Linked DNA regions of Lonchura striata. The protein of the gene in region 1 purifies or fractionates together with the protein of each later gene. This does not show direct contact. Links are inferred from orthologs where the notes say so. Each region holds a gene or a part of one and is shown on either strand. Other genes may lie near its edges.

What was found.
Region 2: the proteins of CDK8 (region 1) and MED25 purify together in Homo sapiens (affinity purification with mass spectrometry; 8 studies listed by BioGRID and IntAct, counting the BioPlex papers as one, with this or other methods). This does not show direct contact. The link is inferred for Lonchura striata from reciprocal best matches to the Homo sapiens genes CDK8 and MED25.
Region 3: the proteins of CDK8 (region 1) and MED16 purify together in Homo sapiens (affinity purification with mass spectrometry; 10 studies listed by BioGRID and IntAct, counting the BioPlex papers as one, with this or other methods). This does not show direct contact. The link is inferred for Lonchura striata from reciprocal best matches to the Homo sapiens genes CDK8 and MED16.
Region 4: the proteins of CDK8 (region 1) and MED24 purify together in Homo sapiens (affinity purification with mass spectrometry; 13 studies listed by BioGRID and IntAct, counting the BioPlex papers as one, with this or other methods). This does not show direct contact. The link is inferred for Lonchura striata from reciprocal best matches to the Homo sapiens genes CDK8 and MED24.

The regions. Positions count from the first base shown.
Region 1 is NC_134604.1:69,723,962-69,731,455, reverse strand, and holds the start of CDK8 (cyclin-dependent kinase 8), read left to right. Parts: upstream 1-4,487; 5' UTR 4,488-4,550; coding exon 4,551-4,678; intron 4,679-7,494.
Region 2 is NC_134640.1:2,261,093-2,269,074, forward strand, and holds the start of MED25 (mediator of RNA polymerase II transcription subunit 25), read right to left. Parts: upstream 3,001-7,982; 5' UTR 2,944-3,000; intron 2,760-2,943; 5' UTR 2,735-2,759; coding exon 2,601-2,734; intron 452-2,600; coding exon 406-451; intron 1-405. UniProt on the Homo sapiens protein: Component of the Mediator complex, a coactivator involved in the regulated transcription of nearly all RNA polymerase II-dependent genes.
Region 3 is NC_134630.1:4,456,207-4,463,474, reverse strand, and holds the start of MED16 (mediator of RNA polymerase II transcription subunit 16), read left to right. Parts: upstream 1-4,263; 5' UTR 4,264-4,283; intron 4,284-4,311; exon of another isoform or gene 4,312-4,420; intron 4,421-4,568; 5' UTR 4,569-4,656; coding exon 4,657-4,792; intron 4,793-5,135; coding exon 5,136-5,243; intron 5,244-5,502; coding exon 5,503-5,672; intron 5,673-6,176; coding exon 6,177-6,608; intron 6,609-7,268. Other genes in the region: R3HDM4 (R3H domain-containing protein 4), read left to right, coding at 204-327, 718-803, 1,686-1,771, 2,081-2,136, 2,785-2,888. UniProt on the Homo sapiens protein: Component of the Mediator complex, a coactivator involved in the regulated transcription of nearly all RNA polymerase II-dependent genes.
Region 4 is NC_134627.1:7,031,994-7,039,179, reverse strand, and holds the start of MED24 (mediator of RNA polymerase II transcription subunit 24), read right to left. Parts: upstream 3,015-7,186; 5' UTR 2,750-3,014; coding exon 2,620-2,749; intron 391-2,619; coding exon 308-390; intron 1-307. UniProt on the Homo sapiens protein: Component of the Mediator complex, a coactivator involved in the regulated transcription of nearly all RNA polymerase II-dependent genes.

The DNA.
Region 1 (7,494 bases):
ATGTTTGTTAGCAACTTGCACTCCAGCCAGAATCTAGGATGCTTTGTTAGATCAATTTTATAGTAAAATATAGTTGAGGGGAAAATAATAATAATAATAAAAACCCAAACCTTAACACATTGCACATTTTTCACAAACAGGAAACTGTTTGTAAAATCAGCACTTATCTGCATTAAATAATCTGTGTTTTTAAGTGCTGCCAATATTCAGCTTACTCATCTGCACATAAAACCTGCAAGGTTTCTGAAAAATAATCAGACTGTGCAAATATTACAGTTTTTCTTTACATACAGAAAAGGAAAAAGTGCCACCACGTTATTGTCTTGCCTTCAGCTTTCCCTGGACTAAACAAAAAATGGAAGATGTATAGCACTTAGCAGGACTGCACTTTTTCATGGAAGATGTATAGCACTTAGCAGGACTGCACTTTTTCAGTCAATACCAAGCTGGGAACACCTCAGTCACACCACTAAAGAATGCCTCTGTGGGGATGTGGGAAACTTTTAGCAGGCAGCTACAGTTTCATGAAAAGTTTTCTGAAACGCAAAAGTATGTTCAGATTTCGCAAATTAATAAGTGGAATGAGCAGACACTTTAATGGCATGGGGATGTGACTGAGTGTTGTAGGTTATCTGTTTATAAAATACAAAGATGAGAAAGCAAAAATATTAAAGTTTACTTCTAAATATTGAAGTTTAAAATATTAAAGTTTACTTTTCTGTATTTTTATTCTATTTTTGAAGACTTCAAAACAAAGAGCAAGTAACTTGTTGTACATTTCTCAGAGATAAGCTTTGCTTCACAGGCTTTGACTCTAGCACTAACACTGTGGCCACAAGCACACAAACACACACCCCTCCCAAAACCATCTTTTTCAGTATTGATACTCCCATGTCATAGTTGAGATGGTCACAAAACAAAGCAACACTCCATTTTCAGGAGGCTTCAAGCTTGTTTTTATTATAGTATGCATGCTTTTTATACATTCTTACAAAACTCATAAGTTTACACTTTACTCATTGGTCAGAAAAGACAAAAAAAGTGCTTATTGGAATCGACAGTTGCATGTTTCTTTTATTTATCCTTTCTTTCTTGGTTTCTATGTCAACGACCTTGGTAGGAAATTCTTTCAAGGATCCTCTTATCAAACTTCTCTCTGGCTCAGAGAAGTCACTGTAAAACCTCTTCCACACTCCCATACCCCAAGTGACAGGATTTACTTATTGTCACAATCCATTCTGTTCCCAGACAACCCAGGCTTTCACCTGAAAGACAATTCCCTGAAATACATTCAGAAATGTTTAATGGTGTCAGCCTTCCTTGACTACTGTCCGTTCTGGTCACAGCTGACTTTGGTAACTGCCTCCAACCCACTGCATGTTACCTGTGCTAATACGGTAACAGTGGCTTTCCTGCAGAGAACTCAGACATCCTTCACAGGTGTGATGGTGACAAACAAAAAAATGTCAAAAGCATGTGTGTTCTGGACATATTAGAAATTACACAAACTCAGAACAGAAGGATATGATAAAGCAAACCATGAATGTTGTTAGAGGAAAAAAGAGAAAGAGGAAAGCTCTAAAATTCCAACTTCAGCAGGATGTGTTAAGCATATTTTTTTAAACTCAGTCCTGAGAGAGCATGAGAGAAGGGAATGAAAAACAGGCAGTAAGAGATAAATCCTATCAATTGAAAAGGCCTCTGTGGGGATGGAGATCTGAGAGTCAAAGAATACCAGATCCTGGTTTTGTCTGTCTTTTGAAGAGCGGACCTTAAATTAAACTCTTCCTTGAAATTACATTACACTGTGACAAATTTTTAAAATGAAGCACAAAAAGAATACAACTTTCCATGAAACAGAGTTTAAAGTTGACCTTAAAATGTCAATATTTATTTCTCATAAAAAGAGCCAATGTGTGCTTTCTATTTCAAATCTCTCTTTAGTTGGAGACGTCTGACGTGGTAAAATCAAACATTGGTTTCAATACCTGAAGTGGAAACAGAGCAAAGATGCAGTAGATTTACAGCTATACTCGTTCTGGAAGGCATACAATTCAAATGCTATGTAAAACTAAGGAAAGAAACATTCAAGCAATTTTGTAAACATTTTTACATAAGGATCGACAATCTGGGAAAGAGGGTATCTCAGTGTGGTTTTGACTTCTTAGAGTTTGTCAAAGTCTGGAAATCTTTCCAAATGTTTTATGCAAATGTGAAACATAGCACAGGTCATCAGAAAATGAATCTGGATTGTCTTTTCATGCTTTCCTTCATGATCTCTTTCCTTTCTAAGCAGACATTTTTTGTCTTCCACATCCTGCAATGTTTCAGCTCAGGACTAATCCCAACCATTAATTACCATGCAGTAACTGGATCCATGTGCAGGAGTTTGGATGTTCAATGCCTCCACAAAAAAAAGATTAATAATGCAAAGAAGAGTACAGAGTTCCAAAATGTGGTTATTGCTACCTCCCCTGCTGATAGGACTGAGGGTAGTGAGCAGGCCAGAGGTACTGTACATGGTAGGTTTGGCCATGCAGGCTTGGTCTTTATTGTCCTTGAAAATCCCCAAAGCCAAGCAGTCCCTGAAAGCAGAGATGGGGCTGAGACAGATGAACTTTGTGAGGTGGACGGTATCTTCCAGATTGTTTGATCTGTGCTAGGCTGCCTTGACCTGTTTGTTTGGTTGGTGTAGTGAGGTGCTGGGCAATGTTTTTGTAAAATTTAGTTGAGTTGCTGGGCAAATAAAGTGTAATTTTGTTGCTTCTCTCAGTTACACTTATTTTTTGTAGAGTTTGCCTAATTGCTTTATTCAACATACATAATATCCCTAACAGCTACATAGGAACATACTGCAAGTCCAACTGTGGGCATCTGACATGAGTCTGATTGAGTGATGCCAGCTCGGGAAGCAGGCACAATCCTATCCAATTTTCAGGGATTAGTGCTAATGTGTAAATGAAAATTGAGATTTGTATTTGAAAACTGAGATGATTTCACAAGATTCCAGAATATGTTGTTACTTCTTTCAGGAGCCCTCATGTTGTGTGATGTCTCTAAGTTAGGGGATTTGAGTGCCCACTTGTTTACTCAATGTGCTGCATTCTTGACATGAAACGTGGAACATTTGTGCATGACTGTGAAAAATGCCAAAAGCTGGGCTGTAATGAGAAAGATTGTTGTCGCTTTAGTTTAGTTCCAAGATGCTTGTTCTACAAGATTACTGGCTGACTTTGTATTGGATGGGTGACTGTGACAGCCATGGAGAGAAATTGGGAAATGCCCAGTTACTGGTGACATACAAGGCCCTTGCTAAACACAACAGTTTTTGTATAATATCCGGACTGATCTCAGCAGCCACAGAGGTTTGTCAGCACTGTGACACCCATCTGTGTCTTGACTGCTGTGAGCAGCCTGGGACACCACAATATAAGAAAGACATTAAGCTATTAGAAAGTGTCCAAAGCAAAGCAACCAAGTTGGTGAAGGAACAGCTGAGATTACTTGGTCTGTTCAGCCTGGAGCAGAGGAGACTGAGGGGAGGCCTTAATGTAGTCTGCAACTTCCTCATGGAGGAAGAAAGGGGACCAAGCACCAGTCTCTTCTCTGTGGTGACCAGTGACAGCACCCGAAGGAATGGCCTGAAGTTGTGTTAGAGGAGGTTTGGGTTGGACATTAGGAAACGGTTCTTCACTCAGAGAGTGTTTGGGCACTGGCACAGGCTCCCCAGGGAAGTGTCACAGCACCAGCCTGACGGAGCTCAAGAAGTGCTTAGAGAACTCTCCCAGGTCCATGGTGTGACTCTTGAGGATGGCCCTGTGCAGGGCCAGGAGCTGGACTCGATGAACCTAAAGGATCCCTTCCAACTGAAAGTGTTCTGTGCTTATCTGACTTTGTCCATGTTCACGGTCGTGGAATTGTCTTAATTATAGTGGTGCTAAGAGATGCTCAGAGCAGCAGGAACCAACCGCGTCTGCCCTCGCCCGCCTGGGTCGAGCCGGGGACTGGAATATTCACCGCAGCCAAGGACCCGGGAAGGGACCGAGCGCTGCTCGCCGTGGCTGCTGATGGCGGCCCCGCGCTCCTCGTGCCCTGCCCACGAACTACAGCTCCCGGCATGCAGCGCAGCGCGGCCCGCCCGGCCTCCCTCCGCCCGTACTACACCTCCCGGCGTGCGCCTGCGCCCGCAAGGCACGCCGGGACGGCCCATTCCACGTGGTGCGCTGCCCGCGGCCGGGGAGGTGCCCGCGGTTTGCGACGTCCGTTTGCGGCAGCGCGCGCGGGCGCGGCCCCGAGAGCGCGCCCGGGACCGGCGGCGGAGCCGCTCCTGGCGTGGGGCGAAGGGAGGGACGGAGGGAGGGAGGAAGCGCCGGGGGCTGCGGCTCGGAGCGAAGGGAGCAGCCCCGCCGCTGGATGTTCCGCGGGGCGGCGCGGGGGCCTCCTCCTCCTCCTTTTCCTCCTCCTGCTGCTGCTGCTGCCGCCGCCCGGTGTGTGCGGCGGGGCGGGGCGCGGCTGCCGGGGGCGGCGGCGGATCGCGGCGGGCGCCCAAGATGGACTATGACTTCAAGGTGAAGCTGACCGGGGAGCGCGAGCGGGTGGAGGACCTCTTCGAGTACGAGGGCTGCAAGGTGGGCAGGGGCACCTACGGACACGTCTACAAAGCCAAGCGCAAGGACGGGTGAGTGAGCGAGCGAGCGGCGCGGGACCCCGGCCCGCCCGCGCCCTCCTTCCCCCGGCCGCCTTCTGCCCCACAGGCTCGGCTGCCTCCCCGCCGCTCCCCGCTTAGTGCCGTCCTTCCTCCGGGCCCGCCTGATCCCGCCCGCTGAGCCCCGCGCTAGCCCGGCCGGCCGGCGCCTGGTTCCCCCTGGGTGACTGCGAGCGTCGCCAGCCCCGCGGCGCTGTACCGGAGTCGTGTTTCGGTAGCGGCTGGGCTTGCAGAAACAAATTTCGTGCCCGAGGGAAACCGTTCCCTTCATGGATTCTCGTTATGAGTATATCAGTGGCCGCTTATACTGTTCAGCCTGATCATCGGCTTCATATAACTGGTTTTTTGTTGTTGTTGTTTTTAACAATGCCTTTTTAAAAAATATGATTTATTACTTGTAGTCACCATTTTGGGTCGTCTTGCTGGCTGCTTCAGAAGCCAAAGTCTGCTCGTGCTTTTGGGGCTTTAGAATGCTTTAAACCACCTTTTGTGTATGACCAGTTCTTGTTACAGACCTGAGTAAATTAATTTACTGGTATAAACATTTTGAAGAAAGACCTAATGAAAGTGTCATTTAGGTTTCCCTCTTCCGTGACATGGCATCACTTGCTGAACAGCGGAACAATAGGAAGTAGGGAGAGGAGAAACGGGAGAGGCACGGGTTGTTCCTGTAGCAGGTCCTAAATTTTGAATTGCATCTAGTCTTTCTCTTAAAGTCTCACTGCAGTGGTGCTCCTTATACTGTCTTTCAGATAAGGTGCATTTTAAAATTCTGGCTATTATTTTTACATCGGATAAATAAACTTTTAAAGCAGGCAGTGGTCAGTCATGGCCAAAATATGATCTGGTTATGTTTACATAAGCTTTTGGTTCTAGAAGGAAATGCTCTGGCTATTACCTAGGGAACAGCTGTAATGAAAATGGTTGCACCTTGTGTTGTCTCGTCTCTGTCTTAAATATGCTGATATTAATTGCAGCACAGTTACTTTAGCCTGAAGTTTGTTTGATGGTAGGAGTCAGGTAACTGCTTTTTTTGCAGAACTTTTATATTTAGATCCCTCCAGCCATTCATAGAATTTGGGCAAAATAAGAATTTTTCCTTTCTATTCTGGGAGGGCAAAAGGAAATAAAAACCAGTTGTAAGTGTGATGGGCTGTTGCCTCAAGTCTCTTTATATGCAGGTACCAACGCTGCTGATACAGCTAGCCCTGGTTTCTATGCCCATACCGAGATCTGTAATATGAAAAATAAGTCGAGGTACTGAAAGATACGGCTACGTTTCTGATGTTTATGTCAGGCAGCTTTGCAGCTGTTCAGCATGTTGGACTGCAGTAAGGTGTAGGGAATTCAGCATGTCATACTGCTGAAGCATTTCTGGTGAAATCATCCGTCTGCTTGATGTTGTTTGGGAGAGAGTGTTTAAAAATGCTGGTGGTAGTGCTGTTCTGAGAAATTTCAGGAAAAATTTGAATTATTTGCTTTAAAAATTGATAGTTGCTCAAAGGTGGTTTTACAGTAGGATGTATATGTTTTTAAATCTTCACTCTTGTTGGTGAGTGGGGAAATCAAGGTATGGTATTTTATTAAAATTTGTGGGGAAAAAAAGATAAGCAATATATATTGTCTCCTTTTTTCTTTGCTTTGTTGTTCATTTAGTGCCTTGCTTCCCATCCCTTTCTGTAATGCTTCCCATTTGCCTTTCTGCTTTCTGAAAACTTCTTCTTTTAAATAACCTGTGTAATTGCCCTTGGATAGTCACTAAAATATGTAAAATAGAAGCATCCATAGATGGTTTTGTAGCTTGTGATACATTTGTACATATGTGATCTTAAATTACAAGGGTGGAATTAGGATTAAAGTTGAAGGTTTTGTTTACATGCTTTTATCCAGAGGGAATCAGTTAAAGCATAGAAGCAAATAATGACATTTAATGTTCCTGAAGCTGTAGTAATAGATGAATGGATGTTATGTCCTGTGGTGGGGGGTACCTGCAACAGAGTTCAGTATTTGTTTATTAGTACATGCATATATTCAAAAAGTACTCTTGCATTGTTTTAGTATTCCCCAAATACTAAGTAGTGATGGATCAATCATTTTTTTAGTTGCTTCTATAGTCTATAGAACTCAAACTTTCTTTTTTATATTTCCCTTAAAATTACAAGCATTCTTTAAACTTTGCTACATGATTCTAATTCTTAATTTAAATAACACAAATCTTCTAAGATATGCATGGTAATTTTTAGAGTACTTTGAAGAGTGGCCTGCAGGACTGCAAATATTTTGTTAACAGTATTGGTGCAGCTTTTTCTTAAATGAAGTTTTCTACTATGGATGACTAAGAGGTAGAAGGATCACGAAAATAACTAAATTTTAGTAGCTCAGTTCGTGCAAATGTATCTTCTAAGGCCTTTGGTGATAAAACCCAGTTCAAGAATACCAGGAGCAGTGTCTGTAGTACAACTGCAGTCTTTGCCTCCATTTTTTTTTTTTATTTTACTGCTTTCCAGGTTTTACAGCTGTCTCTGAGGTGCTGTAAGGCAATTGAAAACTAGATAGCAGCTCTGTATCCTAGTCCTAGGAAGTTAGTTGCATCACTTGAACTACACAGGAATATTCTGGAGGACAGTCTTTCAGGAATCTTGATGGAGTGAGAATCCTTCTAATGCAGGAGAGATGTGCTGTAGTATGTGTGCTGGTGACCAGATGGGAGTGTAACCCGGGTTTCTTTCATGCCTTGCTCCAAGATAAAAGCCAGTCCAGCCCTGCGGTGCCCTCTGCCATGAGGTGAG
Region 2 (7,982 bases), on another chromosome or scaffold:
AAAATTGGAATTAATTAAAATATACAACCACCAAGTTGTATTGGGGGCCCCCACTTTGGTTAATTAAATATTAATTAAATTATATTCAATTAAATGTTATAAAATAGGCACCAGGCTGTACTGGGTGCCCCCAAACTGATTAATAAACATGTTAATTAGCTAGTTAAAATGGGAATTAATTAAAGTACATAAAATAAAAGAAAAAGAGAATAAAACAAAATAAAATAAAGAAAACAAAATAAACACAATACAACGTAATACAAGACAACAAAATAAATTAAATTAAATTTTTAAAAAATTAAATCAATAAATAAAATAAAATAGAAAATAAAATAAATTACGATAAGAATAAATAAAATAAAACCAATAAAATTAATTAAATCAATTAATTTAATTCCCACTCACGTCTCCGCCGAAGTCGGTCTCCGCGGGGGGGCCCCCATTGAAATACCTGGGGGGGCAAAGAGAATTTGGGGAGATTTTGGGAATTTTTGGGAATTTTGGGAATTTTTGGGGTCCTGAAGGGTTTTGGGGTGATTTGGGGAATTTTTGGGGAATTTTTGGGGAATTTTTGGGGGAATTTGGGGAATTTTTGGGGGAATTTTGGGGGAATTTTTGGGGAATTTTTTGGGGAATTTTTGGGGAATTTTTGGGGAATTTTTGGAGGAATTTTTGGGGGAATTTTGGAGGAATTTTTGGAAATTGTGGGAAATTTTGGGAATTTTTTGGAGGATTTGGGGAATTTTGGGGAATTTTGGGAATTTTTGGGGTCCTGAAGGGTTTTGGGGTGATTTTGGGAATTTTTGGGGAATTTTTGGGGAATTTTTGGGGAATTTTTGGGGGAATTTGGGGAATTTTTGGGGGATTTTTAGGGAATTTTTGGGGGAATTTTGGAGGAATTTTTTGGGGGGATTTTGGGAATTTTGGGGGGGTTTTGGGGAATTTTTGGGGGTCCTGGGGAAATTTAGGGGAGTTTTTGGATTTTTTGGGGAGATTTTGGGGATTTTTGGGGAAATTTTGGGAATTTTGGGGAATCCTGGGGTAATTTAGGGGAAATTTGAGAATTTTGGGGGGTCCTGGAGGGGTTTTGGGGGAATTTTGGAAATTTTTTGGGGGTTTTGGGGAAATTTGGGGGTTTTGGGAATTTTTGGGGGAATTTGGGGAAGGGTCCCAATTATTAACATGCTAATTAACACGCTAATTAACACGCTAATGAGCCTGACATAATGGAGACACAGGCAATGCTTGGGGCAGGATCCCATTAATTAAATTATAACTGGTTCCCTTTAATTAAATTATAACGGGTTCCTTTTAATTAATTTGAGACGAGGGCTCATTAATCTATTAGAGGAGGGGTCTCTCTAATAAATTATCTCATTAATTAGCTAATTAATCAGCTAATTAACATGCTAATTAGCCCTCACTCAATGGCACAGACAGGAAATTCTTGGGGCAGGATCCCCTTTAATTAATTTATAACGGGTTCCCTTTAATTAATTTGAGGTGGGGCCTCATTAATAATTTAGGGAGAGGTTCCTTTAATAAATTATCATATTAATGAGCTAATTAATCAGCTAATTAACATGTTAATTAGCTGTCACCCAATGGCACAGCCAGCCAATGCTTGGGGCAGGATCCCATGAATTAATTTATACTGGCTTCCCTTTAATTAAATTATAACGGGTTCCCTTTAATTAATTTGAGATGGGACCTCATTAACCATTTAGGGGAAGGGTCTCTCTAATTAATTACCTCATTAATCAGCTAATTAACATGCTAATGAGCTGTCACTCAATGGCACAGACAGGCAATGCTTGGGGCAGGATCCCATTCATTACTTTATAACGGGGTTCCCTTTAATTAAATTATAACGGGTTCCCTTTAATTAATTTGAGATGGGACCTCATTAATCTATTAGGGGAGGGGTCCCTCTAATTAGTTAGCTAATTAACACGCTAATTAGCTGTCACTCAATGGCACAGACAGCCAATGCTTGGGGCAGGATCCCATTAATTACTTTATACCGGGTTCCCTTTAATTCTTTTGGGGCAGGGCCTCAATTATCTATATGGGGAGGGGTCTCATTAACTAATTAGCTAATGAATATGTTAATGAGGCTGACTCGATGGCGGACAGCAGGTAGTGCTTGGGGCAGGATCCCCATTAATTTATGATGGGTTCCCATTAATTAATGACAGGTTCCCTTGAATTAATTTGAGGCGGGGCCTCATTAATCATTATGGGGAGGGGTCCCTCTAATTAATTAGCTAATTAAATCGCTAATTAACTCTCACTCAATGGCACAGACAGGCAATGCTTGGGGCAGGCTCCCATTAATTACTTTATAGCGGGGTTCCCTTTAATTCTTTTGGGGCGGGGCCTCAATTATCTATATGGGGAGGGTTCTCATTAATTAATTAGCTAATGAATATGTTAATGAGGCTGACTCGATGGCGGGCAGCAGGTAGTGCTTGGGGCAGGATCCCATTAATTACTTTACACCGGGTTCCCTTTAATTCTTTTGGGGCGGGGCCTCATTTATCTATTAGGGGGAGGGCCCCGCTAATTAACTAGCTAATGAATATGTTAATGAGGCTGACTCGATGGCGGGCAGCAGGTAGTGCTTGCGCAGAGCCTCGAAGTAGGGCCCGAGGTTGGCGGTGCCCTCGATGACGAAAACCACGTCGGCCACCAGGGCGGGGGGGGCGGGGCCTTCCAGCGCGGGCACGACCATGGCGGCCCGCGGGGGGGGCCGGCTCCTGCGGGGGGGAAACAACAACGCCGTGACTCCCCGGAACCGAGCCCGAAGCGGCGACTCGCCCGCAGCTCCCCCCTCAACCCCGCCCGGCATTCTCACGGGGTTGGCGGTGCCGCAATTTGGGTTTTTAATTAACTTCCCCCCTCCCGGTTCCCCCCCCCCCCACAACTCCCCGGGGTCGGTACCGGCGGCGGCGCGCGGAGAGGAGGAAGGGGTTTTCCTTCGCGTCCGCGCCGGGCGGCGGCGCATGCGCGGAAAGGAGGGACGCGGGCGTTGCGCCTGCCTCAGCCAATCAGCGTGGAGGAAAGGAGACACGCCCCTTCCGCATTGCTATAGTAACGACTCATCGACCAATGGAATTGAAGAGGATAATAAGGAAGCCACGCCCCTTCCGCATTGCTATAGTAACGACTCATCGGCCAATCGCGTTGCAGAATAAGCCACGCCTTTTCCGCCATTGCGACTCATGGACCAATCGCGTTGCAGGGGAAGCCACGCCCCTTCCCGCCGTTGCGACTCATGGACCAATCGCGTTGTAGGGGAAGCCACGCCCCTTCCGCCGTTGCGCGGCAACCGCGGCGCTCCCGGCGTGCCCCGCGCGGGAAATGGCGGCGAGTGGCGCCAACTGAGCGGGGAGCGCGCGCGGGCAGGGAGGGGGCGGGGCCAAGGAAGGGGCGGGGCTTGAGAGGAAAGGGGGCGTGGTTTGTGGGAAAAGGGGCGTGGTTTGGAAGGAAGGGGCGGGGTTTGGGAGAAAAGGGGCGGGGTTTAGAATCAGGAGGCGTGGCTTTAGAGCCAAGGGGCGTGGCTTGACTGATAAGGGGCGGGGTTTGAAGCGAAGGGGCGTGGCTTAAGAGCAAAGGGGCGTGGTTTGAAGCGAAGGGGTGTGGCTTAGGATCAAAGGGGCGTGGCTTAAGAGACAAGGGGCGGGGTTTATATCCAATGGGCGTGGCTTAAGAGCAAAGGGCGTGGCTTGAGATCAAAGGGGTGTGGTTTAAAAGCAAGGGGGCGTGGCTTAAGAGCAAAGGGGGCGGGGTTTACCCTAAAGGGGCGTGGCTTAAATGCAAAGAGGCGTGGCTTGATATCAAAGGGGCGGGACTTGATAGTAAAGGGGCGTGGCTTAATAGCAAAAGGGCGGGGCTTATAAGCAAAGGGGCGGGGTTACTAGCAAATGGGCGTGGCTTAAGAGCAAAAGGGGCGTGGTTTGAGAGTAAAGGGCGTGGCTTAAAGCAAAGGGTTGTGGCTTAAGAGCAAAGGGGTGGGGTTTAATATCAAAGGGCGAGGCTTAAGGACAAATGGGCGTGGCTGAAGTCGAGGGGCGGGTTTATTAGTAAAGGGGCGTGGCTTATGAGCAAGGGGCGGGGTTTGTAGGCAAGAGGCGGGGTTTAAGAGGGAGTGGCCATTACAAGGGGGCGTGGCTTAGCTCGAAAAGGGGCGTGTCCCGCACGAGTGGGCGTGGCCATGTCCGGCGAGGAGGGCGGGGCCTTCCTGGTGGGCGTGGCCACGGCCAGCGGCCTCCCCCTGTTCTGCCGCCCGCCCCGCCCCCAGGTGAGGCCACGCCCCCCCCTCCCCTCCCCTCCCCCTTTTTTCGGGAGGTGACCTTTGACCCCCGCAGGTGCCGTTCCCATTGGTCGGGGCCCTGCACGGGGCGTGGCTCTTCGGGGCGGCCGCGGGGGCGGAGCTGCGGGAGGCGGCCACGCCCACGGCCCGGCTGGGCTGGGCCGGACAGCCGGACAGGTCAGGGGGCACCCAGGGGTCACTGGGGGGGTCACGGGGTCAGCTGGGGGTCACGGGGTCACGGGGTCAGGGATGGGGTCATGGGGGGTCACGGGGTCACGGGGTCAGGGATTGGGTCATGGGGTCAGGGTGGGGAGCACGGGGGGGTCACGGGGTCATGGGGTCAGGGAGGGGTCACAGGAAGGTCACGGGGTCTTGGGAGGGGTCACAGGGTCATGGGTGGGTCACGGTCGGGTCATGGGGTCAGGGAGGGGTCACAGGGGGTCATGGGGTTAGGGAGGGGTCACAGGGTCACGGGGGGTCACAGGGTTATGGGAGGTGACACAGGGTCAGGGAGGGGTCACAGGGTCACACAGGGTCATGGGTGGGCTGCGGTCAGGTCACGGGGTCAGGGAGGGGTCATGGGGGGTCACGGGGTCACTCAAGGGTCATGGCGGGTCATGGGGTCAGGGAGGGGTCACAGGGGGTCATGGGGTCAGGGAGAGGTCACTCAGGGGTCACTCAGGGGTCGTCCCCCCCCAGCCTGACCCTGATTGGGCTCAGCTTTGGCCCCGCCCCCGCCCAGATCCTCGACTCCGCCTTCGGCGCCTTGGTGAGAGCCTGCCCAGTATAAACCAGTATAGACCAGTATAAACCAGTATAGACCAGTCCCTCCCGGTCCCTCCCAGTTTGTCCCAGTCCCTCCCAGTTTGTCCCAGTTCCCTCCCAGTCCCTCCCAGTCTGTCCCAGTCCATCCCAGTCCCCCCCAGTCCCTCCCAGTTTGTCACAGTTTGTCCCAGTTCCCTCCCAGTCTCTCCCAGTCCCTCCCAGTCCCTCCCAGTTTCTCCCAGTCCATCCCAGTTTGTCCCAGTCCATCCCAGTCCCTCCCAGTCCCTCCCAGTTTGTCCCAGTTTGTCCCAGTCCATCCCAGTTTCCAGGTGCTGCTGCTGGGCCGGGAGCAGCTGCTGCCGGTGCGGAACGAGGAGAGGCTGAAACGGGAGCTGAGGGTGAGACTGGGACAGACTGGGACAAACTGGGAGGGACTGGGATAAACTGGAATAAACTGGGATGGACTGGGATGGGGAACTGGGTGGGACTGGGAGCTACTGGGAGCACTGGAAATGGGGCTGGGACAGACTGGGGGGCACTGGGAGTTACTGGGAGGAACTGGGAGGGACCGGGATAAACTGGTTTGGACTGGGAGCAATGGAAAGGGTAACTGGGAGCACTGGGAGCACTGGGAGGGCCAACTGGGACTTACTGGGAGTTACTGGGAGTTACTGGGAGGGCTCTGAGGCATTTTTGGGGGTCCTGGGGTGACCCCGCCCCCAGTTTTAGCTCCTCCTCCATTTCTGTCCTGTCTCCCCTGATTGGCCCCGCCCCTTTCCTGGCCACGCCTTCTTTCCTGACCCCGCCCCTTTTCCGGCCCCGCCCCCAGGGCTGTTTCCCGCTCCTGGATTGGCTGCTGAGCCCCGGGGGGGGGATGGGCGCCCCCTGCTGGCCCCTCCCCCCCGGCCCCGACCGTGACACGCTGGAGGTGAGGGACCCCAAAAACCCACAAATCACCCCAAAAAAACCCAAAATCGACCCAAAAACCCCTTCAAATCATCCCAAAAAAAACCCCAAAATCACCCCAAAAAACCCCAAAATCACACCCAAAAATACCCCCAAAAATACCCCAAATCAGCCCAAAAATCACCCCAAAAAGAACCCCCCAAATCACCCCAAAATCATTCCAAAAAATACCCAAAAGCACCCCGAAATCACACCCAAAATCACCCCAAAATCACCCCAAAAAAACCCCCCAAATTATCCAAAAATCACCCAATTTGGGGATTGGCCCCAAGATTTTGCATGCCGCTCCCTGATTCGCGCGCCCTGATTTGCATACCGCTCCCTGTTTCGCGCGCCCCGCTCCCTGATTTGCATGCCGCTCCCTGATTGGCGCCCCGCGCCCTAATTTGCATACCGTTCCCTGATTCGCGTTTCCCTTCCTGATCTGCATGCCGCCCCCTGATTGGCGCAGCCCCTCCGATCTGCATGCCGCTCCCTGATTCGCTTGTCCCGCTCCCTTATTTGCATACCGCCCCCTTAGTTGCATGCCACTCCCTGATTGGCGCGCCGCGCGCCTTGATTTGCATGCCGCTCCCTGTTTCGCGCGCCCCGCGCCCTGATTTGCATGCCGCTCCCTGATTCGCGTGTCCGCCCCTGATCTGCATGCCGCCCCCTGATTGGTGCACCCCGCGGCTTGATTTCCGTGCCGCTCCTTGATTTGCATACCGCCCCTTATTTGCATGCCGCCCCCTGACTGGCGCGACGCGCGTCCTGATTTGCATGCCGCCCCCTGATTGGCGCGTCCCGCGCCCTGATTTGCATTCCGCCCCATGATTGGCGCGCCGCGTGCCCTGATCTGCATGCCACTCCCTGTTTCTCGCGCCCCGCGCCCTGATTTGCATGCCGCTCCCTGATTGGCGCGCCCTGCGCCCTGATTTGCATGCCACTCCCTGTTTCGCGCGCCCCGCCCCCTGAGCTGCATGCCGCCCCCTGATTGGCGCGCCCCGCGGCCTGATTTGCATGCCCCTCCCTGTTTCGCGCGCCCCGCCCCCTGAGCTGCATGCCACCCCCTGATTGGCGCGCCGCGCGCCCTTATTTGCATGCTCCTCCCTGTTTCGCGCGCCCTGCGCCCTGATTTGCATGCCGCCCCCTGATTTGCGCGCCCCGCGCCCTGATTTGCATGCCGCTCCCTGATTGGCGCGCCGCGCGCCCTGATTTGCATGCTCCTCCCTGTTTCGCGCGCCCTGCGCCCTGATTTGCATGCCGCTCCCTGATTGGCGCGCCGCGCGCCCTGATTTGCATGCTCCTCCCTGTTTCGCGCGCCCTGCGCCCTGATTTGCATGACGCCCCATGATTGGCGCGCCGCGTGCCCTGATCTGCATGCCGCCCCCTGATTGGCGCGCCGCGCGCCCTGATTTGCATGCCGCCCCCTAACTGGCGCGACGCGCGGCCTTATTTGCATTTCGCCCCCTGATTCGCGCGCCGCGCGCCCTGATTTGCATGCCCCGCCCCCTGACTGGCGCGCCGCGCGCCCGGATTTGCATTCCGCCCCCTGATTGGCGCGCCGCGCGCCTTGATTTGCATGCCGCTCCCTGTTTGGCGCGCCCCGCGCCCTGATTTGCATGCCGCCCCCTGATTGGCGCGACGCGCGCCCTGATTTGCATGCCGCCCCCTGATTGGCGCGCCGCGCGCCCTGATCTGCATGCCGCTCCCTGATTGGCGCGTTCCGCGCCCTGATTTGCATGCCACTCCGTGTTTCGCGCGCCCTGCGCCCTGATTTGCATGCTGCTCCCTGATTGGCTCGCCGCGCGCCCTGATTTGCATGCTGCTCCCTGATTGGCTCGCCGCGCGCCCTGATCTGCATGCCGCTCCCTGATTGGCGCGCCGCGCGCCCTGATTTGCATGCCACTCCCTGTTTCGCGCGCCCTGCGCCCTGATTTGCATGACGCCCCCTGAT
Region 3 (7,268 bases), on another chromosome or scaffold:
ACAAGCCCCTTGCCAAAGCCCTGTTGCCTCATGCTGGCCCTGTAACCGGGTGTTTTGAAACGTGGCCTCTCCCTGGTGTGGCACTCGGGCCATCCCTGAGGACAAGAGGGTGAGGAGGGGGCTCAGGGGTGTGGGGGTGGCCCTGCACTGCCAGCTGCACCCCACAGACCTCTGCAGTGGGGCTTGGTGTTTTCTGTTGTCAGATCTGGAACGACTTCATGAACCGGTCGGGAGAAGAGCAGGAGCGGGTCCTGCTCTACCTGGAGGAGGAGGCCAGGAAGAAGCAGAGGAGGAAGCTGCCTGTCAAGGATGAAGAGAAGTGGAAAGGTGCTGGGAGGGGACGCAGGGTGGGGACAGCCTCTCCCTTTCCTTCCTTGTGTACATTCTGGGAGGGCTGCACCCACTCCCTGTTAATGGTGGGGCTGGGGGATGCCTGAGCCCACCCCCTGTGTGTGACAGGGTGGGGGTTTGCCTGCAGACCCCCACCATGGACCAGGGAGGGTTTGTGGGAGCCAGGAGTGGCTGGGATGATGGCACAGCAGCCATCCCTTAATGTCACACCCCCAAATCTCTGCACCCCGACCCTCCTGTGCTGGGGAGAGCATTGCTGTTTGTGAAGGGGGCACGGGGCGGGGGGGGACACTGGGTCCTCCCAAAAAGTGACACTGTGGGCTCTGGAGCTGTGAGCTGTGTCCAAATCCCTTCTCCCTTGTCCAGAGCTGCCTGCCTACACGCCCCAGGAGTGCTTCCAGCGCATCAGCCGCCGCCTGCGTGCCACCCTGAAGAGGGGCAGGATCCCCATGGTGAGCTGGAGGCTGGGGCAGCAGAGCTGGGGCTGCCAGGGGTCCCTGTCCCCAGAGCTGTGCCCTGACCCTGTGCAGAGGATTTCAGAGGAGCTCCTGGGAACGCGCTGGGGCTGCTTGCAGAGACACCCAGCTCCCGGCACGTGGGGTTTCCTGGCTCGGTTCAGATTTTTCTGGTAGTTACAGGGCTTTTTTTTTAGTGGTAGTTTCTCAGTCTTTGTGCAATGACAGCAGGTGACAGGTGAAACCAGGCGTGTTTGTGCATGGGGACAGCAGTGGAGCCTTTAGGGTCTTCACAGTGGCCCACACAAGGTTATTTGGGGGAACTCCAGAGTGTTTTGAAAGGGGGTAAAAGTGCACCAACTGCTGAGCAGGAAGGAGAGAGGTGAGTGCAGCCCTGCACTGCCTGCCCAGACACTTGCTCTACCAGTCCTGGGGGTGCTGGCTCCCTGCTCCCTCTGCTCTGTGGGGCTCTGTTTGTTTGCCTTGTGCTAATTAGAGCTTCTAAATGCAGCCTGGGCTCCTCCTGCCCACTGGCTTGTTTGTCTTCCAATGAGACGCGTGTGCTGCTCATCTCTGGGGTCACAGAGCTCCGCAGAGCAGCAGAGCACTGAGCTTTGACTGTTGGGAGGCACGGGGCTCCCCTGGCTGCTGTGAGCACGAGGGATGGTGCCAGCCCTTGGCACACACAGTGTGGAGTTGGCAGGAGCTGGATCCTTCCCTGCCTCAGGGGCTGGAGATGGGAGATGTCTCCTCTCCCTGCTGTCTCCCGTCCAGATAACTTGCCCGGGAGCTGCTGGCAGCAAGTCTTGGGGAATCAGTTGTGCCAGGGCTGTGCCCAGCACTGTCCCCTCCTCGCTGAGCCCCTGCCTCTCCTCACAGGGGACGCTGGAGGGGCTGGAGGAGGAGCTGCTGGCCTTCTTCTCTGTCACCCCGCACTCTGTCTACACAGCACTGATGGATAACAGGTATTCCCCCATCTCGGGGTGCTGGGCTTCCCCATGCCCCAGGGCTGCCCCAGGGCTGCCCCAGCCTGCAGAGGGGCTTTGGGAGCACAGGACACCCCTCAGCCTCCCCTCAGCCAGGCCTGGCTCTCCACCTGGGGACACCCACCTGGCCTGGTCCCCGTGGAGCCCCTGGGGGAGGGAGGCACCTGGGGATGCCTGCGCAGGGCTTCGTGGCACTTTGTGCTCCCCTTTGTGTCCCTGGGAGGATGGAGGGCAGGGCAGCCTGTGGGACACACTGCTCAGGCTCTAACCCTGTCCCCTGTCCCCCAGCTTTGAGCGGCTCCTGCTCCACGCGCTCTGCCAGTACATGGATCTCGTCTCTGCCAGTAAGAGCCGCGTGTCCGCTTGGTCGATTTTGATTTTGTTGTTGTTTTTTTCCCCCTTCCCTCCATCACTATCTCTCCTCTCCAGCTCTGCCTTTTCCTCCCTTCCTCCTGCCGGTCCCACCTCGCCCTGGGGCTCGCAGATAACCCCGCGGTCCCTCCCCTGCCTGCTCCCTCCCCACCAGTGCCCGGAGCTCCCTGGGCAGCCCCGGCCGTGTCACCAGCGCTGCGGGCAGCCGCACACCCGGGGCTCGCCGGGACCCAGCTCTGACGGGAAATTTGGGTGCTCCAGAGCAGGAATCTGCTCGCCGGGTTCCCTCTCCTGCAGCTGCTTCCTCCTCCCGAGGAGCAGCCGCGCTCTCGTACTGCCCTGGGCACCCCCAGAGGTTTTGTTGCCAAGGCAGGGAAGGCATCCATCCCTCCGGAGGAGGCTCTGCTGCCGAGCGTTTCATTCGGAGCCGCTTGTGGCCATCAGCCTGAGCTCTAATGATGGCGAGCGAGCCCGTGGTGCCGGCAGGGGACAGAAAACAGGGGACAGAAATCTCACCACGAGCCCCAGGGGGAAAAGGGGAGGGCTGTGGCTGGGAGCGCCTGTTGGAGACCCCCGAGGTGGGGAGGAGGGATGTGCTGAGCGCTCCGTCCCACCCGCAGGTTCGGACATCGAAGGGAAACGTCAGATGAAAGTGAGCAACAAGCACCGCGTGTTCCTGCCCCCGGAGCTGCTGCTCTCGGACTACCTGGGGCAGATGAGCTGATGCCCCCACAGCTGCCCTGCCCCTCCTGTGTCCTCTGCAGCCTCTCCCGGAGCCTCGGCGGGGCAGAGCCGGGGGTTTGTGCCTGTGCTGGCCGCGGGTGCGGGGCAGGAGCCCCTGGCCCGCCCCGGCTCCCCGCGCATCCCTCCTGGAACTGTCGGTGTGTCTATTTATATAACCCAGGTGTTTTTAAAAAAGAATCAGGCAGGGCCGAGCCTCGCTGTGGCGCTGACGCTCGTGGGGTGATTTCGGTCCAGATTTTTCTGCGGTGAAACAGCTCCCGGCGGCTGCTGAGCAATCGCTGAGCCGGCGGAAGAGCCCCGGGGCTGCCGCGTTCCCGCAGCCCCGTGCCCACCGGGTGTCCCGGGGGGCTCGGGGCGTGGGGAGCTCCGGATGCTTTTTACCCCACGCCCTGTGCCCTGCCCACCCCACGGGGCTGTTTTTAAGTGTAATATAGCTTGTGTGTTTTTTATCACGTGTGTGTATATTTACATGTGTGTGTGTGTGTGTGTGCGTGCGTGCGTGCGTGTTGGAGGGGTGCAGCCCCTTTCGGGGCTCTCTCTGCTTTTCCACAGCTGCCATGGGGGCAGATGGGGGCATTCTGGGGGTCTCTCTGTGTGCCCCCCGGCTTCGTGGCATGTGCCAAGGTTTGCTCGGGGCAGGGCGTGCCCTGGGGATCTTTGCTGGCTGCTTTGCCCCAGCATGATGACACCGACTGCCATTAACCGTGGGCACCCCCAGAGCCTGGGGAACCCCTCGTGGGCACCCCCAGAGCCAGGGGCGCCCCTCGCTCCTCCTTGGCTGGTGTGGCGTTCAGAAACAATAAAAACGGTGCTCCCCTACTCCGGCTCTGTGTCTCCATGTGGGGAGGGGGAGGAGGGAGGTTTTTGGGGGGTGGCGGAGCAGCTGGTGGGGCACGGGATGGAAAATGTGGGTGCGGGGAGGTGCGAAAAATATGGAACGCTTCACGAATTTGCGTGTCATCCTTGCGCAGGGGCCATGCTAATCTTCTCTGTATCGTTCCAATTTTAGTATATGTGCTGCCGAAGCGAGCACGAACTGCCCTGCACCCGCAGCGCTATTTAAAGACTCACAGAAATAATATTGTCATGATAGGGTGAATGAGGTGCGGCCCAATATTAGACGCGGAATGAGCTTCCCAAGTGTTTCTCAGTTTTTTTCTCTGTTATTTTCTTGGATTTTCCCCAAATTGTCCGAAATTCGCCGGTTATGTTTGCTATCTCTGCCCGATGCATTGTGGGTAGTTTGTTATGGTAATTATACCCTGCTGGATGGCTCTCTCTGCGGGGGTGTCTGTGGCAGTGCCTGAGCGCGCGGCGCAGGCGCGGGCCGGGCAGCCCGCGGGCGGGCCGGGGTCCTGCAGAGCGGCGGGCGCCGGTGAGGGCGGCGGGACCGGGAACGGACCGGGAACGGGCCGGGAACGGGCCGGGAGCCTCCCGCGGCCTCCCCGCGACCCCCCGGAACCTCCGGGACCGTCCCCGGCGAGGGGGGACGATCCTCCTGCCCGCCGTACGGTCGGTACCCGCGGGCCGCTCCCCCCGGGACCGCCGCGGTTTGTCCCGGTGCGGGGCTGTTCCCACCCGTGTCCCCAGGGCTGTGCCCCCCCCCATGGCCCCTGAGGTTGGGATTCCCTGTGTGTGACCGGCCTTGTGTCGCCCCCAGGCAGGACCGAGGCTGTCCCGTGTCCAGTATCCCGTGTCCAGTGTACCGTGTCCGGTGTACCGTGTCCGGTGTACCGTGTCCCGGTGGGATGGATCTGGCCTACGTGTGCGAGTGGGAGAAGAAGCCCAAAAGCAACCACTGCCCCTCCATCCCGCTGGTGTGCGCCTGGTCCTGCCGCAACCTCATCGCCTTCACCACGGACCTCCGCAATGAAGAGGAGAAAGGTACCGGGAGCCCCTCGGGAAATCCCTGCTGGCAGCTCCCGGTGCTCCCGGGAGAGGCCAGGATCCGCCGGGCCGCAGCTCTGCCCTGCCCCGGGCAGTTCCGGGCTGCTGCTCCTCCTTTTCCTTCTATCCCTCAGCCTCTGGCAGCGTCTCACACGCGTTTGTTTCCTCTAAACCAGCACCGACTTCCCAAATCTACACCATGCTGGCTCCTCACTGAGCTCCCAGCAGAGTTGCTACCCTGCCCCAAATGATTTCTATAAAATATTTTATATTTTCCCTGCACCAGCTGAGGCTCAGGAGCAGTGCCAAGGCACAGGGAGTCACTTCTCTGTTCACACAGATCTCACCCACATGGTCCATATCATCGACACCGAGCACCCCTGGGATGTCTACTCTGTGAACTCGGGCCACACCGAAGTCATCACCTGTTTGGAGTGGGATCAGTCAGGTGGGCTGGGCTCCCTCCACATTGGCACCGTGTCCCACCCCTGCTGTGTATGTCCCCAAGGGGTGGGCTGTGATTCCTTGTGGGGTTTTGGCTGTTTCCCCCATTCTCATGCAGTGTCACTGTCACAGGCTCCAGGCTGCAATTCCTTGTGGGGTTTTCTCTGTTCCCCCATTCTCATGCAGTGTCACTGTCACAGGCTGTAATTCCTTGTGGGGTTTTGTCCATTCTCCCCCATTCTCATGCAGTGTCACTGTCACAGGCTCCAGGCTGCTCTCAGCAGATGCTGATGGCCACATCAAGTGCTGGGGCATGACAGATCACCTGGCCAACAGCTGGGAGAACACGGTGGGCAGCGTGGTGGAGGGGGACCCGGTGGTGGCCCTGTCCTGGCTGCACAACGGCGTCAAGCTGGCTCTGCACGTGGAGAAGGTTTGTCTCAGCTCCGTGGGGGATCTGGGCTGGAGCTCTGGCTCAGGTCTTGGCAGAGAACTCAGGATCCTGCCTGTGTTCCGTGCTCTGGGCTCTCTTGTGGCCTTGGGGAATTTTTGCAGTCAGAGAGAAGTCAGATTCCTGGTTCCTGCTGAGTTCTGAGGGGGGTTGGAGCCTTGTTTCTTTTGGTGTTTCAGGTGTGTCTCTCCTAGTTTGGTACCTCATTTCTAGGCAGGAACACGGAGATAGAGCAGTTCTTTCCTCACCTGTGGTGATTCAGAGAAAATGCATATGGAGTGCTGAGGTTTGATCTGGGCATTTGTGCACAGACCTCAGCTCCTCATGTGTGATCCTGCAGACTCTGAAAGCCCAAAGCTGCCGAGCACAAGTTCCCTGCTTGTGTTGGGGATGTCCCACATAAATCCTGCCCCTGTCCCTCGAGAAGAGCCCCGCAGGCACAAATTTTGGCCGCAAACACTTTGGTTTTGCTGACCTTTGTTACAGTCCGGAGCCTCGAACTTCGGCGAGAAGTTCTCGCGGGTGAAATTCTCCCCGTCGCTGACGCTGTTTGGGGGGAAGCCCATGGAGGGCTGGATTGCTGTGACCATCAGCGGGCTGGTCACCGTGTCCCTCCTCAAGCCCAACGGGCAGGTGCTGACGGCCACCGAGAGCCTGTGCCGCCTGCGCTGCCGCGTGGCCTTGGCCGACGTCGCCTTCACGGGCGGGGGCAACATCGTGGTGGCCACGTCCGACGGCAGCAGCACGTCCCCCGTGCAGTTCTACAAGGTGTGTGTCAGCGTGGTGAACGAGAAGTGCAAGATCGACACCGAGATCCTGCCCTCCCTCTTCATGCGCTGCACCACCGACCCCGCGCGCAAGGACAAGTACCCGGCCATCACCCACCTGAAGTTCCTGGCTCGGGACATGTCAGAGCAGGTGGGAAGCTGCTCTCTGCTCCACCTGGTCTTCCTCACAGGGTCTGGGGTGGCCAGCTGTTGGATAGATAAATGTAATTATTCATAAATAATACAGCCAAGATGAGAACGGTCCTCCCTGCTAGCCGGACAATGTCCCTGCCTACAGATGGGTCCAGGGGTCAAGTGGACTGTTCCATCTCACCCCCCAAAATGTACGGTTCACCCCACACCTGTAACCCTCCCCTAAAACATCAGGTGTCTGTAACCCCATTGGCCCAAGTCTTGTTCCAGCCTGTTGCAGAGGATAGATAGATATGATTGTTATTTTAGCTAGCCGGATGTCACTTCTACCCTTGGATGAATCCTGGAGTGAAATGGACTGTTCCATCCCACCCTGCAAAAAATTGTGGTTCATCCCGCACCTCTGTACCTGCCCCTAAAACAGAGTCTGTAACCCCATTGGCCCATACCTTGTCCCAGCCCACCTGGGAGCCCCTAATAAGGGGGCTCTGAGCGGCCATGCGGCCTCTTGGCCCTCTCCTCCCCTCTTGGACTTCCTCTCTCCCTGGGGCTTCCCCTCTCCTAAACCCTCCGTTTCTCTCTCCCCTCCCCCGTCCTCCTAAGCCCAGCCACGTGCTACGCCTGAGAGCACGAGGCTTGGGCATCCCTGAATTCTCCA
Region 4 (7,186 bases), on another chromosome or scaffold:
GATATTAAATGCCAGGATGTGAAAGCGTGGCGCTCACAGCGAGCGCAGAGCCTCTCGGGGGGCAGAATTCCCACCCTGGGCGATGGCAGAGGCTATTTATGGAAACATCCCTGCCCAGGGCACGCGCTGAGCCCTCCACTGCCTGCCCCAGCCCCAGAGAGGCTCAGATGGCGGTTTGGGGTATCTGCCCAGCCCAGGAGAGGCTCACATGGGAGATGTGGGGTGCCTGCCCACCACCAACACCCCAGTTGCTTTGCCCAACCTCACCGAGGCTGCAAGGTGAGCAGCAGCACCAGCAGGTCCTTACCTGGGAGCTGATGGCGTATTTCAGGTAGGATAAGATGAGTGGGTTTGGGGATGGCCCAATCATGGCCTGCTCCAGGAGAGCCTCTGCAAGGAAAGAGGGTCCCAGGTCAGCACATGGGGAACACACGGACACAATCTGCTCTCCCCTCATTCCACAGGGAAGCTGGCAAAGTCCAACTGTACCAACCACAGTGACTCCACACCAGTTTTTCTCCTAAATTCATTGAATCCCACAACTTCCTAATCCCTGACGGGCACAAGCCAGTGAATAATTCAGGCAGAGCTCGCAGCCTCCTGCTAACACAGCTCTTCAGCGCTCCAGCCCTGAAATTTCTGCTGCTGCTCTCCACATTCCCCTCCCTCCCAGTTCTTGCCAGGAGGCTCCTGCAGCCTCCACTGAGTGTCTTTTGCCCAGGCACCTGGGGCTGAGCTTGGGGCCACCAGTCCCCTGCACTGGGCGCAGCCCTGCCCGTCTGGCCCTCGGTGGCCTGAGGGGCTCTGCCCGTCCCATCTGCTCAGCCAAGCCTTTAATTGTCCATTTGAGCCATGGCAGAGTGCAGGAAGCACCACCCCGAGCAGGCCCCGGGCTGCAGCACAGGCTGCAAGTAGGTCAGAGCACCCAGATGTGAAAGGGGGAGCAGCAGCCGGGTGGGAAGTTGTCACCCCAAAGCCGAGGAGGAGAAGCCACCACCGGATCCCGAGTGCAGGAGAAGGAGACTCCCTGGGTCTCGCTCCAAGGCTGAATCCTGGGCCAAGAGCGTCTGGGATGAGGACAGAAGGCTGGTGGCAGCCGTCCCCTCCCCAGCCCATCCCAGAGTGCCACCACGAGCCAGCCACATGCTGCTCCCTGCTGCAGACGTGTCAGCAGCGATCTGCCAGGCCCTGCCGTGATCCTGGCAGCTCGTGCCAGCTTTCCCTCCTTTGTACTTCCAAGCTGAAAGGGGCACGAGCTCGGGAAAGGACAGCTCTGGGGGCTGTGGTGAGGAAGGGAGCTGCTGGTCCAGCCATTGGGACCTCGGGAATGGGCTCTCCCTGTGTGCACACAATACCCAGGGTCACGGCCAGCACCCTGCCCGCGTGGCTCCCAAAAGGAAAAGGGGATACAGCTCCTTCTCCTCCTGCTCCAAAGAAGCCACTGAGCCTTGGGTAAATGTGAGCCAGGAGAAACCCATTCCTGCAGAAATAATAGGGAATTATCCTCCCTGCGTCTGTTTTTGGGGATACACAGACGAGCCCAAGCCAAGTACCCCGCAGGCCTCACTGCCAGAGGAGCAGGAGCCAGTGCCACCAGGGTGGGAACAGACACCTGGGAGCCTCAGGGACCAGCTGGGCAGCAGCAGGACTGGCCCTCAAGCCAACCACCCCCACCCCCAGCAAATCCATGCAGAGCAAATCCATCCCCCCACGGCCACAGCTCCATTTGGCCCCTCCAGCCGCACCTCAGAGCTGACAAACCCAGCAGGGACAGCTCAGCAGTGACAAAAAACAGACACTGACAGAAAATCCAATGAGAGGATGAAGAGAAGGGAAAAACATGCACAGGGGAAAGTTCCCCACACTCAGAGGAGTGAGAGCTGCTGCCTGTGTGGGGCTGGTTCCTTTAAACTCCCTGGAGCAGCAGCTCTGTTTATTTATCCCGGGACTTGCTGCACAGGGAAAATCCCAGCACCAAGTTTCTATAATTAGCAAGAGAGCCTGGCAAATCTTTAAACCAGTCCTAGCTTTTGGCAGGATTTCTGTGAAATGCCCTTGAATTGGGCTGGGAAGCAGCCTTGGGAGCAGCACCTGGCTCCTGTGCAGTGCTCGAATCACGAAATCGGGGAATCATTAAGGCTGGAAAGACCTCCAAGAGCATCTCACCATAACCCAAGTGCCCTGGAGCCACATCCACATGGCAACTCCACCACAGCCTGTTCCAACGCCTAACCACCCTTTCAGTGAAGAAATTTCTCCTAATTTCCAACATAATTCTCTCCTGGCTCAACTCAAAGCTGTTTCTCTCGGTCCCAAAAGCTACGCTGTGCTGACCCCTGAACCCTCCCATGGGGGAAAAGGAGGGAATGATCCCAAAACGGGGACAGCGGGGTGGGGGGGGACAGTTGGGAATGGACTGACATGGTTGGGAATGGGAATTTTGGCGTGAAAAGTGGTGTGGGAAGTGGGGACCCAAAATGCGACAAGGGACCCCATAATACCCCTGCCTGCACCCCAAAGAGGGGAACACTGGGGACAACACCCAAATAAACGCGTGAGGACCCCCAAAACATCCCAGTGTGCCCAGTAAGGAGGGGGAACCCCCCGCCTCCCCCCGACCTGCCAAGTTGAGGATGTCCCAGGTGGCTCCGCGGGGGAAGAACCGCTTCATGTTTATGGCCCATTGATAGTCGCTCCAGCGCTCCTTCCAGGCCTGCAGGATGGCCTGCTTCAGGTTCACCACCTTCATGGTCACCCCGCGGCCCGACAGCTCAAGGCGAAGGGGGACGGAGCCCTGACCCGGCCGGGCAGGGCCGGACAGAGCGGGGAAGCGGCCCAGCGGCTTCGGAGGGCAGCAGCTGGGGGTCTGCCCGCTCCCCGGCCCTGAGGAGCCCCTCGGAGCAGCCCCGGAACCCCTCGGAGCCCCCGAAGTTCGGTGCCCGGGGGTCCCGCCGGGTCCCGCCGCCCCTCAGCGCGGCCCGGCGCCGCCCTCAGCGCTTGGGCACCGCCATTGCGGCGCCTGCCAACAAGCCGCACGCTGATTGGGCGGCGGGGCGCGGCGGGCGCAGGGGGTGATGGGAGTGGTAGTTCGGGGGGCTAGGGCGGGCGGGGGCGGGAGTGAGTGTGCAAAGGGTGGGTGGGAACGGGGGGCGAGTGTGCAAACGCCGAGGTGAGAGTGCAAACACCGTGTGGGTGAGCAAACGGGGGAGGGTGGGCTAACACGGGGTGTGTGTGTGGAAACATGGGGTGAGTGTGAAAATCGGGAAATGGGATTTGACATGCAAACACCAGAGGTGAGTGTGCAAATAGGGTGTGTGTGCAAACACGGGGTGAGAATGGGGGGTTGAAAACACGGGAGTGGGCAAATAGGGGCGGGTGTGCAAATAGCAGGGGTGTGGAAAGGTGGGGGGGTACAAACACGGGGGGAAGGATACGTGTGAAAATGAGGAGTTGTGCAAAGACAGGGTGAGTGTAAGAACAGGGGATGTACAAACGGGGTAAGTGTAAGAACAGGGGATGTACAAACGGGGTAAGTGTAAAAACAAGGGATGTGCAAAAATGGTGCAAAGGCGTGAGTGTGCAAAGGCTCTGGGGTGGCAGCACGGATCTCCCAGCATGTTTCTCTGTGCGTTTGTGCAGGTGTGCACACAGGACAGTGTGTGTGCACGTGTGTACACACAGATGTACAGATGTTCACACACGCACACACATGAGCACAGGTGTGCACACCAGTGTGTGAGCACAGAGGTGTGCCCGCGTGCGTGTGCAACCACAGGCGTGCACTGAGGACTGCGTGTGACACAGGCGGGTGTGTTCACACGTGTGGATGCACATGAGTGTGTGCGGTGTGTGTCTGTGTGTGTTGTTGCACACACGCGCAGACACCAGCACCCCCGGGCGGGTGTGCACGCACAGGTACCAGCGCAGGGGTGGGCACACACGCGTGTGCAAGGCCGTGTGCTGCAGACACGTGTGTGCACACACGTGGCGCCGCCATGGGCCTGGGCTGCCCCCCACCCCCTCCCTGCAGTACCAGCAGCTAAAAATATCCCCAGGGATGGTGCCAGCCGTCGCCATGGCAACGGGAGGATGGGGAGCAAGGCTGGGGGGCAGCCCCCCAGAACTGACAGCCCCCCCCAGTACTCCCAGCGCACCAACCCTCCCAGAATGCCCCCAATAGCCCCCCAGCACCCCTCCTGCAACCCAAACACCCCCAGGCCTCTGCACCCCTAGAACACTCCCAGCCCCCCCAAAACCCTCAGTACCCCCAGAATTCCCCAAGGGAACCCCCAAGGCTCAGGAGCAGGGTGAAGACCTCCAGGGGGGCTGGGGTGGGAGCTCAGTCACACCCCCCCCCCCCTCCGCGCTGCTCCGGGGGGGTTTCGCGGCCCCTTAATTCCCCGGTTAATCATTCATGGGGCCGGGGCGCAGCAAATCCCCCCGTGCCGGGGCCGGGATTAAGCGGGCCAGCGGCTGCCCGGGCGGCGAGGGGCCCCGGCGGCGGGGGGGACACCCCGGCAGCGGGGGGGTCCCGCCGGGGGGGAGCCCTATCCATGAGGAGGGATTTCCTGTGCAAGGGGGGGGTCGCTTCCCACAGCTGGCCGTGGAACAGACACCACGGGGGTCTCCAGGCAGGAGGGGCTCTGAGGAGCCCTGCTGGACCCCCCCAACCCCGGCACAGCACCCCCAAACTCCGGGGCAGGGGTGGTGGTGGTGGTGCTGGCAGGGTCGGGGGTGGCAGGGGGTGCTCGGGGGGTCGCAGCTCCCCGGGGTGCCGCGGGGGCGGCCGGCTGGGGGGAAGGCGTCGAAGCCTCGGCGCCTTGGCAGGGAGCCCCGGCACAGCTGCCTCCGGCCCGGGGCCGGGGGGGCCGGAAGGGGCTGGGGCCGTTCCCAGCGCCGGGGGCAAGCGAGGGGCGAGCGGGGGCCAGCGTGAGGGGCTTCCCCTTCCCACGGGGTCAGTGGGGTGGCTGGGAGCTCTGGTGCCGCGTCCTGCCGGGGGGCACATGGCTGCTGACTGGTGTTTGGTGGGGTGTGAAGGATCTGATCCGGGATAGAGGGACACCCCCATGGGGCCGTCCGGACCCCCCAGTTGGTGGTGGGTGCTGCCCCATGGGGGTAGCCAGTGCTGGGGATGGAGGTGCCTGGTGTCATCACCTTCTTGGGGGTCCTGGGGGGCACCACTGGTGACTTGGGGCTATATTTAGTGTTTCTGCCACAGAGCAGCGGGGTGAACTTTAATGAGCGTGTTCCAGCCAACTAGAGCAGCACAGCCCCTCTAAATCCCAAATCCCCTCAGATCAGGGTCTGCCACAGGGCACAAGGTCCCCACTCTACTGGGGCAGTGCAGAGACCTGTGGTGGCACTGGGGGAACCTCAGTGGGGACGGGGAGCTGGTGATGAGCGCGAGAAGCGCCTGTCTGTGTGCTCCAGAGAGGCCACAGGCAAACTCCAGCTCTGCCTCAGTTTCCCCAATGGGATAGAGGCTGTCAGGCAACCTCAAGCAGGGGGATCTGGGGACATGAGGTGGTGTTGAGATGGCTGAGCCCCATAGGCTGGGGGCAGGCGAGCTCAGCCACAGCCTTATCGCGGGCAGACGGCTGCGGGGGGCCGTGGCCGAGCCGTGTTTGCTGAGGATAAAGTGTACGGAACAGGCGGGGAGGGACGGGGGGGCCGTCACGCTGCTGCTGCCCCGCCACGCTGGGACCGCCAGCCGTGCGGATGAGGGCCCCAGGGTGACCCGGGGGGCCAGGGGATCGATGGGGGCTATGGGGACCACCGGCCTGTGGGGACCGGGGGCAGCAGGAGGTCCATGGGTTCTGTGGCAGTCCCAGGTGTCGCTCTCCTCCATCCGCTGGGTACCCCCATCCCCTGGCGACCACCTTCCCCTGGGGACTCGCATTACCTGGGGACCACCATCCCCTGGAGATCCCCGGGTAGCACTGCCCCCTTGTTGTCCCCATTCTGAGCAGCACCGTGCCCTGACAGCCGCTGGCCCGTGGGGACCCCCCCCTCACCTTCCCTGGGTGTTGCCTGCGCTCCCCAAGTGTGGGAAACCATCCCCTGGGTACACCCCTCCCAAGGAAACCTTCATCCCTTGGAGACCCTCCTCTCCTAGAAGCCTTCATGCCCGGGAGACCCCCATCCCCCTCATCCCCTGGGTATCACCGCACCGCCCGTGCAGCCCAGGGAGGGGGGTACCCAGGGGGCTGGGGGGTGGGGGGCGGCCAGACTGAACCCCCCGGGGGTCCCAGGGCCGAGCTGCGGGGCTCCGGGCGGGGATGAGGGGGGCGGCAGAGCCGCTTTAAGCCCGGGCATGACGGGACGTGTAGTCCGGGGAGGAAAAGGGGGGGCTGGGAGCACGGGCTGCTGGGAAGGGGGTGGGGTGGCACGGCCGGGTCGGTGGGCGACCCTCAGCGCCCTCCCCAGTGATCCCCCCCGGGCTCCCGGTGCCGCCGCCATCCCCAGCCCCACGGCGGCTCCGGGTCCGGCCCCACAGCGGGGTACGACCCCCGTTGTTCCCCGTCCCACACATCCCCCGGGGGGCGCAGGGGCAGGGCCCCCCGACGTGCGGGTGTCCTGCGGGATTGTCTCCTGCCCGGGGCGGTGTGGATCTGAGGGGGACCCCCGTGTCTGGTGTGTGCCCCTCCCCGGGCCGGGCTGGGCATCCGGGGTGTGGAGCTGCCCCTTGCCTCGTGGGCACTGTCACCAAGCCCCATGGGGACTGTCCCAGATCTCCTTGAGCATCATCTCCACCCCACCGCCACCCAGCGAGGGCACCGTCCCAGCCCTTCCTGGGTGCTGTCCCCAAATCCTGTAGGGTCACTGTCACTATCACAGCATCGCCGTGGGCACCGTCCCCAGCTCCCTGCGGGTGCCGTGCCCTGCCCTCGTGGACACCAGGTTGTCACTGTCACAGCATCCCCGTGGGTGCTGTTCCCAGTGCCTGTGGGTACCATCCCCGCCCTGCCACGGGCATCCCCCTGGGCCTCCCTGGGCACCGTCTCCGGTCCCCCTTCGGTACAGCCCGCCACGCGGTGGTCGCCATCCCCCGTCCCTGTTGTCACTGTCACGACATCCCCGTGAGCACCGTCCCAAACTCCTGTGGGCACCAGCTTCACCCCACCACGAGCACCGCCCCAGGATCCCGGGGCCCCAAACTCCCGTGGGCACTGTCCCCACCTCCCCG